3 linked regions of the Cricetulus griseus genome follow. The main gene of each other region encodes a partner of the protein of the gene in region 2 in a complex. Links are inferred from orthologs where the notes say so. Each region holds a gene or a part of one and is shown on either strand. Other genes may lie near its edges.

What was found. Proteins that work in one complex are often made in the same cells at the same time.
Region 1: Phldb2 (region 2) and Ppfia1 share a complex: the UniProt entries of both Homo sapiens proteins name them as parts of the cortical microtubule stabilization complex. The link is inferred for Cricetulus griseus from reciprocal best matches to the Homo sapiens genes PHLDB2 and PPFIA1.
Region 3: Phldb2 (region 2) and Ppfibp1 share a complex: the UniProt entries of both Homo sapiens proteins name them as parts of the cortical microtubule stabilization complex. The link is inferred for Cricetulus griseus from reciprocal best matches to the Homo sapiens genes PHLDB2 and PPFIBP1.

Annotation. Positions count from the first base shown.
Region 1 is NC_048596.1:56,855,100-56,858,599, forward strand, and holds part of Ppfia1 (liprin-alpha-1), read left to right. Parts: intron 1-60; coding exon 61-196; intron 197-2,053; coding exon 2,054-2,277; intron 2,278-3,443; coding exon 3,444-3,500. UniProt on the Homo sapiens protein: May regulate the disassembly of focal adhesions. May localize receptor-like tyrosine phosphatases type 2A at specific sites on the plasma membrane, possibly regulating their interaction with the extracellular environment and their association with substrates.
Region 2 is NC_048597.1:44,757,399-44,761,517, forward strand, and holds the start of Phldb2 (pleckstrin homology-like domain family B member 2), read left to right. Parts: upstream 1-1,319; 5' UTR 1,320-1,338; exon of another isoform or gene 1,339-1,374; intron 1,375-1,504; exon of another isoform or gene 1,505-1,689; intron 1,690-4,119. UniProt on the Homo sapiens protein: Seems to be involved in the assembly of the postsynaptic apparatus. May play a role in acetyl-choline receptor (AChR) aggregation in the postsynaptic membrane.
Region 3 is NC_048601.1:2,678,480-2,682,750, reverse strand, and holds the end of Ppfibp1 (liprin-beta-1), read left to right. Parts: intron 1-1,342; coding exon 1,343-1,522; intron 1,523-1,850; coding exon 1,851-1,916; intron 1,917-2,028; coding exon 2,029-2,115; 3' UTR 2,116-3,771; downstream 3,772-4,271. UniProt on the Homo sapiens protein: May regulate the disassembly of focal adhesions. Did not bind receptor-like tyrosine phosphatases type 2A.

The DNA.
Region 1 (3,500 bases), on a different chromosome or scaffold from region 2:
AGACCTTTCCAGCTTGACACTTTACCTTCCTTTTGATACCCACCTTTTCCCATGTTTCAGCCGACCCCATTTGGGCAGCGTCCCGGACTTCAGGTTCCCTGTGGCAGACGGGCATGTGGATGCTTACAGCACCAGTGCAGTGTTGCGGCGCCCCCAGAAGGGCCGGCTGGCAGCGCTGCGGGACGAGCCCTCCAAGGCAAGGCCTCCGCTTGCGGAACGTCACCTGTTCCTCTTGGACAGACTCTCGGTCTCCTTCTTCCCCCATGTTCCTTTCCTTGGCTTTTCTGGCTAAGAGCTTGCTTTTAGGGTATGCTTGCTTTTTGGTTTTAGTTCTTTCTTTAAGAACAGAATTTTTAATAAAATATCCTTTAAGTTAATGCTAATTGGTATGTACTTGAAATAGTAAATAAAAAATGTCAATGATGCCAGGTGTAGTGGCACAGCACACACCTGTAATCCTAGTACTCAAAGAGGCTGAGGCAGCAGGCTTGCCATGAATTCAAGAGTAGTTTGAAGCTACAAGCAGTGAGCAGTACAGTAGTCTGTACCTAGCTAGCTCTGTGGCGGGTACCATGAAGTTCTGTGCTGATGGTATGGCTACGGGCAGTTCATGGGCCCTGGGATTTAGGAGCAGCATGACTGAGGGCCTTAGGTGCTTGTAGATAGGGAAGGCTTGGCAGTGTGGGCCAGAATTTTCAAGCCCTTGCTGACTGACCTGCATGGACTCTTTGGGGTCCTTGTGGTATGTATGCTGCTGGCTCTCTTCAGAGCTCACATTTGAAGAAATCCAGGAGGAAGTCCAGGTCCTTCACTACCTGGTCTGGGAAGCCACATGCCTTTTTATCAGTTATATTCCCTCCATTCCTGTGAGTCATTGTGGTTTGTTCCCATATGGAGACCATTGAATTGTCTTCCACTTGGAGAGAGGGGTATATTTTCAAATCACTGCAGTATGCCAAGGATAAGAAGCAGGAGGCAGTTAGGTACCATGGATACCTGACTCTAGAGTTACAGTGTTACAGGCTAGGAGAATGATAAGCCAGGAGGGCTGGGGCCTGGGGCCAGCTGAATAGCCTATCCAGGGAGGACAGCAGCCAAGCCTGAGCCTATGGGAGCTGACCAGCTCTGCTCGCTTTGAGTACTCTGCCCACTTTGAGTGAGCCCTTGGGAGTGGGAAGAAGGGCAGAAACAGATGGCAGTTGTTGGAGAGGTTTTGCTGATGGACAAGGAAGTAGGGTGGCAGAATGTTGTGGTTTTTATCTGTGGTTTCAAGATGAGGGATGGAGATGCTGTCTTACCTGAGGAGATGAGGGTGCCACTGGTAGGAAGTCTGGGTGGAAGCCATAGCAGGTGTAGTGCCTCTGGAGGAAAGGAAGGCATGAGCCCTGACCTTCAATCCACAGAGAGGGAGGGAGTGTAGCAGCTGGAAGGGGAGGGGTAAGGAGGGGATTCATTAACCACCAGGAGGATTTAACACTGGCTGCTATGGGCAGTGTTCACAATAGGGGTCTCTTCTGTATAGTCCTTTCCCCTGGAAACTGCACCAGGGACCACTGGCTATGTTCACATGCCTGCTTTGCTTTCCTCCTCTGGCTTTTTTTTGGTGCTTGTCTGTACCAGGCTTGGGAAGCTCACACCCACTGCATCATTCCATGGCAGTTGAGCATATCCCTTCATGTGCCCCTAGGCTTCCTTTTCAATTTCCATCAAAGTGGGTGACCTGAGTGTAGATGTGGAATGTCCCAGGCATTTCTATCACAGTGTGTGTGCTTGCTCTCTCACCATGAGACAGGCTCAGCCTGTGCCCCAGCTGGCCCCCAAATCTAGACCCATCTCTGTATCCTCCTTCTAGGTGCTTCCATTACAGGTGTGTTCCTCAGGGCTCACCCTGTCTGTCAGGTGCTTCTTGTTTAGCAGCAGCTCAGGTGCATGAGCATCTTCCTAAAGCCTTGGTTTGCAGTAAGACTGCTCACATTTCTAATAGCAGCCTTCCCTACCCTTTGAGTGCTTGCTGTTACTTTTATCTACTGAGACATAGTGTTCTTGTTGGTAGGTGCAGACCCTCAACGAACAGGATTGGGAACGGGCCCAACAAGCCAGCGTCTTGGCAAATGTGGCACAGGCATTTGAGAGTGATGTGGATGTGTCTGATGGCGAAGATGACAGAGATACTCTGCTTAGCTCAGTTGATCTGCTGTCACCCAGTGGGCAAGCTGATGCGCAGACACTGGCCATGATGCTTCAGGAACAGCTGGATGCCATCAATAAAGAGATCAGGTATATATATGTACATATTTGGTGTGTAAGAGACACAAGGAAGCCGGGCGTTGGTGGCGCACACCTTTAGTCCCAGCACTCGGGAGGCAGAGGCAGGCGGATCTCTGTGAATTCGAGACCAGCCTGGTCTATAAGAGTTAGTTCCAGGACAGCCTCCAAAGACACAGAGAAACCCTGTCTTTAAAAAAAAAAAAAAAGAGAGAGAGAGAGAGAGAGGGAGAGAGAGAGACACACAAGGATAGTAGGAACCAGGAGGCAATGGCATGCATCTGTCATCCCAGCTCTTGGAAGGTGGAGGCAGCAGGAGGAGTAGTTAGTTCACAGCCAGACTAGACTATAAACAATTTTAAGGCCAGCCTGGACTACATGGAACCCTGTTTCAAAATAAGAGCAACAAAAAGAAAGTGGAAGGAGATGAGACTGGAGTGGATATTGTGAAGGTGTGAGGGTGGAAGGAAGGGGACAGGGAGATGACCAGAGACTAGAGTAGATGCTGTACAGGTGTGAAGGTGTTATAATGAGGCCTAGTGTGTTGTACACTTTGAAAACTCAAGAGATGAGTCTTGCAGTTCACTTTTTCATGGGAAAGCATGGTATAGGTGGGATCAACATCCCCGTTACAGCCCCCCACAGCAGAGCACTTGGGCTTCTGAGATAGTCTTTACCTCTGACAGCCTGGCCACCTCTCTACACTATACTAGGGGAGGTGAAACTCTTCCATCCCTTCATAAATAGAGAAACTGGGCCCAAATCACTCCCCTGCTACCCAGAGCTATTCCTGGAAGGCCAGACAAGACATGCAAGGTGCTGTTGTGTAAGTTGAAGTGGTGATTTGATCATGCTGTGGACAAGAAGCAGTGGGTTTCCTTCCTTCCATCATCCAGTGCTTAGCATACCTTTGTCTGTGTTAAGAGTGAGCACAGGAACATTCTAGCTGTTAGTGGAGGGAGACAGTAGTGCTAACATCACCAGCATTCTGCTGTTAGCTACAGGGTCTCCTGGTGTAGCCTTCGTTGGTCTTGAAGGCACCTTCCTCCCACTGTAGCCTCCAGCTTCTGGGCTCACATATAAGAAGACCCCTACCCCCAGCCAGACTTGGCTTGTTCTGCTTGCACACATAGGGCTTCCTGATGAAATAAAACCAACTGCTCTTGTTTGCATTTTAGGCTGATACAAGAAGAGAAGGAGAATACAGAGCAGCGGGCAGAGGAGATTGAGAGCAG
Region 2 (4,119 bases):
GAGATGAGGGGAAGGACAGTGTGTAACTCGTGAATTTATTATTGTGGTGCAAATCCTACCGGGGTAGTGGGCGGAGAACACTCAAAAATGCAAACCATTTTTTATAGGAATGGCTACAGCAGAAATTACAAGTCAAACTTTAGGGGCTGGCAAGGTTGTTAATCTGCTAAGAGCTGTACCACTCTTGTAGAGGATCAAGTTTGGCTGTGAAAACCCACGTTGTTTCTGCCCCGCCCCCCTCCATTCACGTGCACATACAGGCACAAAAACACACATACATATACATAGTAAAATATATTTAATTTTAAAAGTCAGACTTTTACTTACACAAATGCAACATTTTAAATAAGCATTTTGTTACATGAGTTTACTCACAGCTCCAGGCATTTTGCATAGATGAAGCAGAGGCTGCCTTGCTGTGCACCAGCACCACCGGTACCTCTGTTGTACCAACCTTAGAGACATCCTTGCTGGTAGCAACTGTCCCAGGCTACGTTGCTATTAATTAAAGAGCTTGCTGGTCCTTGCGCTTTCCTTATGCTGTGCGTTCCTCCAGGGTTGTTGTCTTTCATCACTGTAACCCCACTGGGCCAGAACTTTGCAGGCAATCCCATCTGGGCGTGTCAAGATGGACTGTGGGTCGTCCTCCCCAGTCCATTTCCTAGCCTCCCAAGGAAGCAATAGTGAAAAAAGTCCACATTAGTATAGTTTTCACTGGTTATGTTAAATTTATGGAAAACATCGAACCGTTTATGAGACACCATTCCAAGGAAATCGGTGTCACAGAGTTTTAAAGTCTTCTCATTCCTGCCCTTACCCCAGGCGTCGCCCTGCTGTTTGGCACAACTGCTTTCCTGACGCATCAGGTAAACCTGCCCCGGGGAGAACAGTGTGTGGCAGAGGTGCGGTCCCCTGGAGTTTCCCAGAGCAGAAACTTCATCATGGGGAAGAAACCTCCACCCGAGGACGTGTGTTCTCCTGTCCCATTTCCACCTTCTTTTAAAAAAAGAAAAGAAAAGAAAAATCCAGTCACAAAGGTTTCTACTACATTGCTGCGAACACAGCTTTGAGAAGGTGGGGCAGGGTGATGAGTAGCCAGGCACTTCAGCAGCACTAAAAGCAGGAGCAACTTAGCTGCCTAGGAGCCGGAAGGCGCCCTGACTTCACAGCTGGAACTCCAAGGACCCGCTGCTGTGATTCGGGAGGGGGTCGGGACCAGGGACCGAGCTTGGTGGAGTCCACCATCGTGGTCCGAGGGGCGCCGCTGAGTGTGGCACGGAGCAAAGCGGTGTGTCTGCCTTAGGTGGCCACGGGCACCCAGCCGCCTCGTCACCCTAGGTGAGTAGAGGGCTACCGTGGTCCTGGAGGAGCGGACTGAGCTGCTTTTGCGAACCCTGGCGGCTGCCTGGGGACACAGCGTCCCCCGCACTCGAGTTGGTAGCCGCCGGTCGCGCTGGGGAGGTCGGGGGCGGAGAGGAGGCGGTGGCCGCCCCCACCGGGAGGGGCGCCCAGAGTGCGCGGTGCGCGGCCTCAGGGACTGGCTGGCTGCAAGGCTGTGGCGGCTGCGGCGGCTGCGGTGGCTGCGGGAACCCGGACTAGGACCGCAGGGAAGGAGGGCGGGAGCGAGGGCCAGGCCCAAGGGCAGCGGGACCTGTGAAGAAAGCTGCGACTACAGAGAAAGATGAGCTGGTGAGTGGGCGCCTTGGGCGCAGGTTTTCTTTGCGTCCCTTGCAGGCTGTAGGGACAAAAGCCTGGGCAGGGGTCTGGAGAGCCCGAACCGTACCACCCTAGGATACTCTGCCCTCCTTATGCATGACGATGTCGGGTAGAGGGCTCGTGGGGAAGGGGTGCTCAGTACGGTGACGCCTCTAGAGTGGTTGAGGCGAAAAGGCAGGATTTAATTAAGGGTCTCTAAGGCAACTTTCGCGGAAACTTGCTTAAGCAGAGATCTAGACCCCAGGAAAAGAGAAGGTCCACAGCTGGATCCTGAGGAATATGGGGTTCCGAGAGGATCTTTTTGAATTAGGCTTCTAGATGTACTTTGTTTCCAGAGTGAGGCTGCAGGGTGAGCCTCCGGACCCAGATTCTCACCAGGAGTCCTTGATTGCGATTCAGCTATAGTTTCCCTAAACGTAGATGGTATAGTGTTCCCTTCGCCCTTAGTGATGGCAGCTCCAAATCATGGGATCCTTTCGACCCTGTTTCACAAGCTCCCTACACTGCGAGGAGCAGTTGAACTGTTCTTGGTGCGCTCAGTAACTTTGCCCCAGCTATCAGCACTTGAAGCCCCAAGGACCTGGCTAACTCCCGCCACCACCAGGAAATTAAAAGGCTGACGGGCTGTCCCTTCCCGGATTGGGATTTCCTGTTTGGAAAAGCTTTACAATTCCAACCTCCTTCCAGCGGTTCCTCTTTTACCTTTCTCACTTAAAAGAGGGAAGACTCCTGCAGCCTTTTATGTGGACCGGCTAGGGCTGGAAATCCTTTAGCTCGGCCCAGCCCTCTTCCCTGGAAGTCTTCCTTTTGTGGTTCTGAAATAACTCGAGCTTTGGGATGCACAACTAGTCACAGCCCGGCGCAGCTGTGAGGGGTCTAGAAGAGACATAAAATGTGGAGTCCGTTAGTATAAATATCTGCCAGCCGCATTTCCTTCCAGAATATGAATGTGTAAGTTACAGATGTAAATTTTCAACTATGATGCTTGTAACTAGGCTCCCAACGTGGGCTTAATTTGGACGTTTGAGATTTTTTTCTTTGGGCTTCAAACGTTTGAATTTAGCTGGGAGCCTCCAAATATGGTTCACAGTTCCACAGGGTTAAACTTTTGCCCTTGGATCACTTGAATTCTTTGTTCCTGGTAGGATAGCAACAGAGTAGTTGGATTTGGGATAAATAAACCTTGAGAGTAGCCCACTATTTTAACAGAATATGCCTGGTGCCGTTGGCTTCAATTGTGTAAATATTTATTTGAATAAAGAGCTAAGATTCTCTGAAAAGTAGCAGTTGTATCTTTCGAGGTTCCCTTTTCCTATCTCGGACTTAGTTGTTTAAAAGGTTTTTATTTATTTATTTTTCCTGATAAATTCATTGTGTAACTTAAACATAACGCATAATTAAGAAACTCGGTACAGGGTCTCCAAACTTTGACAAAGGGAGGAGAGTTGAGTTTTTGCTTTCAGTTAATGTAGCTTTTACTCCTGAGGCAGGGAAGTTTGCAAATCCTAGCTCTCTCACAAACGGCAAAATGAGATGTTTGGTTAAGAGCCGTCATCATTGTCAATTTTCAGGCTGGTTCTCTGCAGCTGGCAGCTGCTGTTCTTTTGGGGTGAGAATGACTGCAGAGATGTCTGCTTGATCCTTTTGGGGCAAGCAAGAAATGCTAGATAAGAAGATAGGGAAAGGTTTAACAAATGTCTTCAACAACTCTGGCCAAAGTTAACTACTTTTGCAAGCATTCTCAGGAGACAGAAGAAAAAGCCAAAGTTGATTTGATCAGACTCTGGTTTTCACTCCTTTCATCAGTGTTGAAGACTCTAAGCATGATGGGTTGTGGAGTACAATGAAGAAATCAAGTCTGGGGTCTTGATTAGTTTTTGCATAATTTTTAAAAGCAGCTGGGGTTGTGGTTATGACAATTGACCCTACAGGATGCTAGATTGCAGACATTGGGAAAGAGGTAGTGCCACAGGTGACAGGGAAAGACAGGAGCTTAACACATTCCCCAAGAATACCTGTGCTTTATAATGTGTCGCTAAATCTCTCTGTGCTTACTTATTAGATGCAGGAATGCCATCCATTTGAAAAACAAACACCTTCTGAGTGATGCCTTAGAGCCCTGCAATGTATTTTAGCAGTAGTTCTCAGGAATAGGAGGTGGCATACAGTCTGAAGGGAATGCTGCACAGTGTATTTTGATTATCATAGCTGAGGATAGGAATATGCAACCAGAGTCCTTTGAATAGAGATCTGTTAAATACCCTGCAATGTCTAGAACACAAACAACTGTCTGGCCCAATCCCTGTTCTAGAGCATTTCCCCAGGTCAGCCAGATGTTAGCAAATTAGGAATCTTAATTTAATTTGGATCCTCACAAAATTTACTTAACTCTTGTTGCTCAAC
Region 3 (4,271 bases), on a different chromosome or scaffold from region 2:
ACTCGGTTTCGTTAATGAGTTAAAAAGTCTATATGAACATATGTTTATGAATTTCAAGAGCACTTAAGGGACTGCATGATGGAAAGTCTCTGCTGAAGTCATTCATGTTATCAGAGTCAAAGCTGATGTGGCTTCTGTTGTCAACGCTGAGGACTATGACCTGGGCCAGGTTTACCATTGCAGTGGTTTTGCTTTCCTGTTGGTAAAGAGGTGTAAGAGGAGGACTTGGGGTGGGAATAACCGAGTGGTGAGGGTGAGCCTCTGCCTGGCAGCATGAGGCCCGGGCTTGATCTCCAGTGCTGCCGATAAGTACATGAGCCAAGCAAGATTTCCCCTTGCACATCTTCAGCTTGCCTTGTTTATAAGTCAGAAAACCCTCCTCACGGAGAGAATCAGAACCAGGGGTTGTTACACCCACCTGTAATCCCAGCATGCAAGAGGCTGAGCTACACATAAAGAAGACCCTGGGGTGGTTTTTATGTACCAAGGTTTGAGGGCTGTAAGAGATTTACTTTTTCTTTTGAGTTATTCCTACATCGACTGGTCTGTATGTGTTGTTTCCACATCCTTCATGTGAAGACAACTTAAGAGTTTCTGCAGAAACATAGGGCACGCTCTCTTGTTGCACCCTGTCTGCCTTTGAATTCCTTTCTCCCTGGGGGCTGTGTAGGGACTAAGATGAAGTTTCTCTCCAAGAGTGTGAATCCTTTTACCACTCACCGTCTCATCACAAAGCAGAAAAGGCAAACAAAATAGTCACAGCTTCACTATCTACCGTCCCTCCCTCCCTTTCCTTCCCTCTTCTCCATCCAATGTGGGATTGAGCCTAGGGTCTTGATCATATTAGACAAGTGTTCTACCATTGACCTACACACCCCCAGTCTGCCCCGCCTCCTTTAAATTTTGTTTTGTTTTGTTTTGTTTTGAGTCAGGCTCTGGCTAAGTTGCCCATGCAGGCCTTAAGCTTGTGATTCTTCTCCCTCCGGCTTTCAAGTAGATCAAGTAGATGCGGCAGCCAGCAGGCCTATGCCACTAGACCAGCTAGGGCTCTCTTTCACTGAGCTTAGGTCGAATAGCCTTGCAAAATTTGAGTTGTCCCGGAGAGGCAATGTATTGTGTTACGTCCTGTCTAAAGCAAACAATAGACTTTGACATGTCCAGCCTGTGGCGTAACAGTGAGAGTTACAAGACCATTTACGAATATGTCCAGGATACTTCTGGTTTTCTTTCGATAATTTGATCATCCAAGTTGCTTTCTTTGAGTGATGAAGTGACATGTTATTAGTACTTTGTCAGAGGAGTTTTAGCAAATTTCTGGATGTCTTTGTGTTTGCTTTTAAAGCCAAAGAAACTGACCTTTAGCAACTTTGGGAATCTGCGGAAGAAGAAGCATGAAGACGGAGAGGAATATGTTTGTCCAATGGACCTGGGGCAGGTGTCGGGGAGTAGCTCCCAGAAGGGGTTTAGACCTGGCTTGGACATGCGTCTGTATGAAGAGGATGACTTGGATCGGTTAGAGCAGGTAAGCCCCGTACTGTGTGCTCACAGGCACTCGGACACACCATGGAAGCTTTGCACACTGTCTGCAAATGCCTGAAAACGAGAATAGCAGAGTATTCTGAATGCCTGTGGACAGCCGCCCACTTCCCAGTACTGCCCTAAGCACCTGGCATGCTTTATTGTTGGTACTGATCTAGGACCTTGACGGTGTTTCAGTGGGGAGACCGAGGCACAGGGTCCCTGCTGTTCTGCTGCACTCTGTGACTGTGCTCTTTCGACTTTGCTTTCATTCGTCTGCCCCTTTGAAATCTCGCAAATGGGTTTGTCACATTATGGCCTGTTCTTGGCAGATGGAAGATTCTGAAGGGACAGTGAGACAGATAGGCGCGTTTTCCGAAGGCATCAACAATCTCACAGTAAGTGTGTTCAGGGAGTTGGAAAAGTTATTCTAAAAGTGTGCAAAGCCACAAATACCCACTTGCTTGTTGGCAGGACTAAGTGTGTAACTTGCTGCCCCTTGTCTTCCAGCACATGTTAAAGGAAGACGACATGTTTAAAGATTTTGCTGCCCGCTCCCCCAGTGCCAGCATCACAGATGAAGACTCCAATGTTTGACCAGAGCATCTGGGCAAGCACCAGGAGCACAGGTGTCATTTTCCAACTTTGTTTTTCAAGTAGTTCATGTGACAGGTGACAGGTTATGCATTGCTGGTTGTTCCAACGTCTGCTCCCTCGGAAGTGGAGCTGTGTGTAATGCAGGGGCGCCGTGCCCATTCTGAAGACGCTGAGAGAAACGAGACACCGGTGAACAGAAGTGTGCCCACTCTGCCTCTGTGGAATGTAATGTCTGTGGTATCTTCTGTTTAAAGTGCTGCGTTTCAGGTTGGGCGTTTCCCAGAGTGCTCCTTCATCCACATCCCAGCGTGGACGGTTTGGCCACACCCGTGTTTGCTGCAGCGTCTAAGCTGAACGTGCTGCTCTCCAGATCCCACTGCTCACCGCATCCGGGGCCGCAGAATGCCAGCCGCACCTCCACTTGCCTCTGACTGTCTTATTTTCATATATTTTTCTAAATATGTATATATATATACATATATATATATATATATATATATACAGTATAGAGAAAACAGAACTTTTATTTTGTGACACAAGGATCGAAAGATCAGATTAAAAACAAAGAAACCCCAGTGTTCTCAGGTTTTTGTAGACCAGCTGATTCCTGAGGAGACAGGGAATTCCTCCAGTGATGAATTTTAACAGTGTTAAATTCTCCATGCTGTGCACTACGTTGACGCCCACAAAATCGCAGAGCGGTGTAGAAGCTCCGGCTTTACTCGTGCCTCCGGCTTTGGATGCACTCAGTCCCCTCAGAAAAGGTTTTGTTAGGGTGACTTTGGAAAAACCAAACCAAAACAGGACCTTTTTACATGTTAAGTTTCTCATTTTCTTCTTTGCTAAATGCACCATTACATGGAACTAAGGAGTCCACCTAGCCATGTCCACTGTCCCTTACACTCATACTGTCAACTGAGGGGGCTTCGTGTTATTTCAGTCAGGGATCCAAATACTCTGAGGCTGCAGGCCGTTTTCTAATGGTCTTCCTGTCCAGTAGCATATTGCTCATGTTTTCTGTAACACAAGGCCCAAAAGCTCTTTGCAAAGAGGCTAGAAAGCCAAGCACAGCTGTTCCTGTGGCATGTGTATATGTGTGTTTTCAGTGGTGTTGGAGACAATCTGGTTTTCATTTGGGGTTACACGTAACAAGACCAACTGTGTACAGACAGGAGCTCACCCGCTGGGGTGCAGGTAGGCAGCTCAGTTTATGGTAATAGATTTGGTGATAACCGTTTCTAAATGTCAGCAGTATTCCTGTTATGTGCTCAGCAGGTTACAGAGCTGTTCGTTGTGACACTTGTAACACTACTCTTTATATCTAACTACAATTATCTGATGCTAATGGTGATGTCCTTTGGATGCTCCCGTTCATGGTTTGATTGCTATATTGGCTTCTTCCTCGATTGGGGTTTTAGTTTAAACGTTGATTAAATGTCACCATTTGAAAAGCTCAATTTGTTATTTGAGCCTGGTTGAAAAATACCAGCAAGACTGTTACTGATGCCAAATATTCTTTATAAGGACAATGTAACAACTGATGATATGTGATAAAGTTAAAAAAAAAACTTTTGATTATATATTTTATTTACAAAAGTATTTGTATGCACTGTTGGCATTACCGTATGAAAGCAAATAAAGTCAATTGATAACTGCCTTGTGTTTTTAATTGTCATTATTTTAACATTCCTTTGTTCAGAAGAACATCTTGGTTTCTGATAGAAAAATAAGCTTGTATGTAACTTGCATATGTTTGTGTGAGTTGGGTTCACAGCATGAATCACAGACAAATTGAGATCTTCACTACTTAAGAAGTAAATGAAAGGAAATATTAGCACCATACTTGGGAAACAAAGGGTCAAGACAGAAGTGATCTACCTTTAATCCCAGCACTGGGGAGGCAGAGGCAGGTGGATCTCTGTGAGTTCGAGGCCAGCCTGGTTTACAGAGTGAGTACCAGGATAGGCTCCAATAGAGATAGAAACCCTATCTCTAAAAAAGAAGAAGAGGAGGAGGAGGAGGAAGAGGAAGAAGGGGAGGAGGAGAAATGGGAGGGGGAGGGGGAGACTTGCAAACTTGGAGACATTGGTTGGAGAGAAAGGGTATTTATGACTCCAACCTGTGTGCTCACATGCTGGTTTTCATTTGACCCCTTT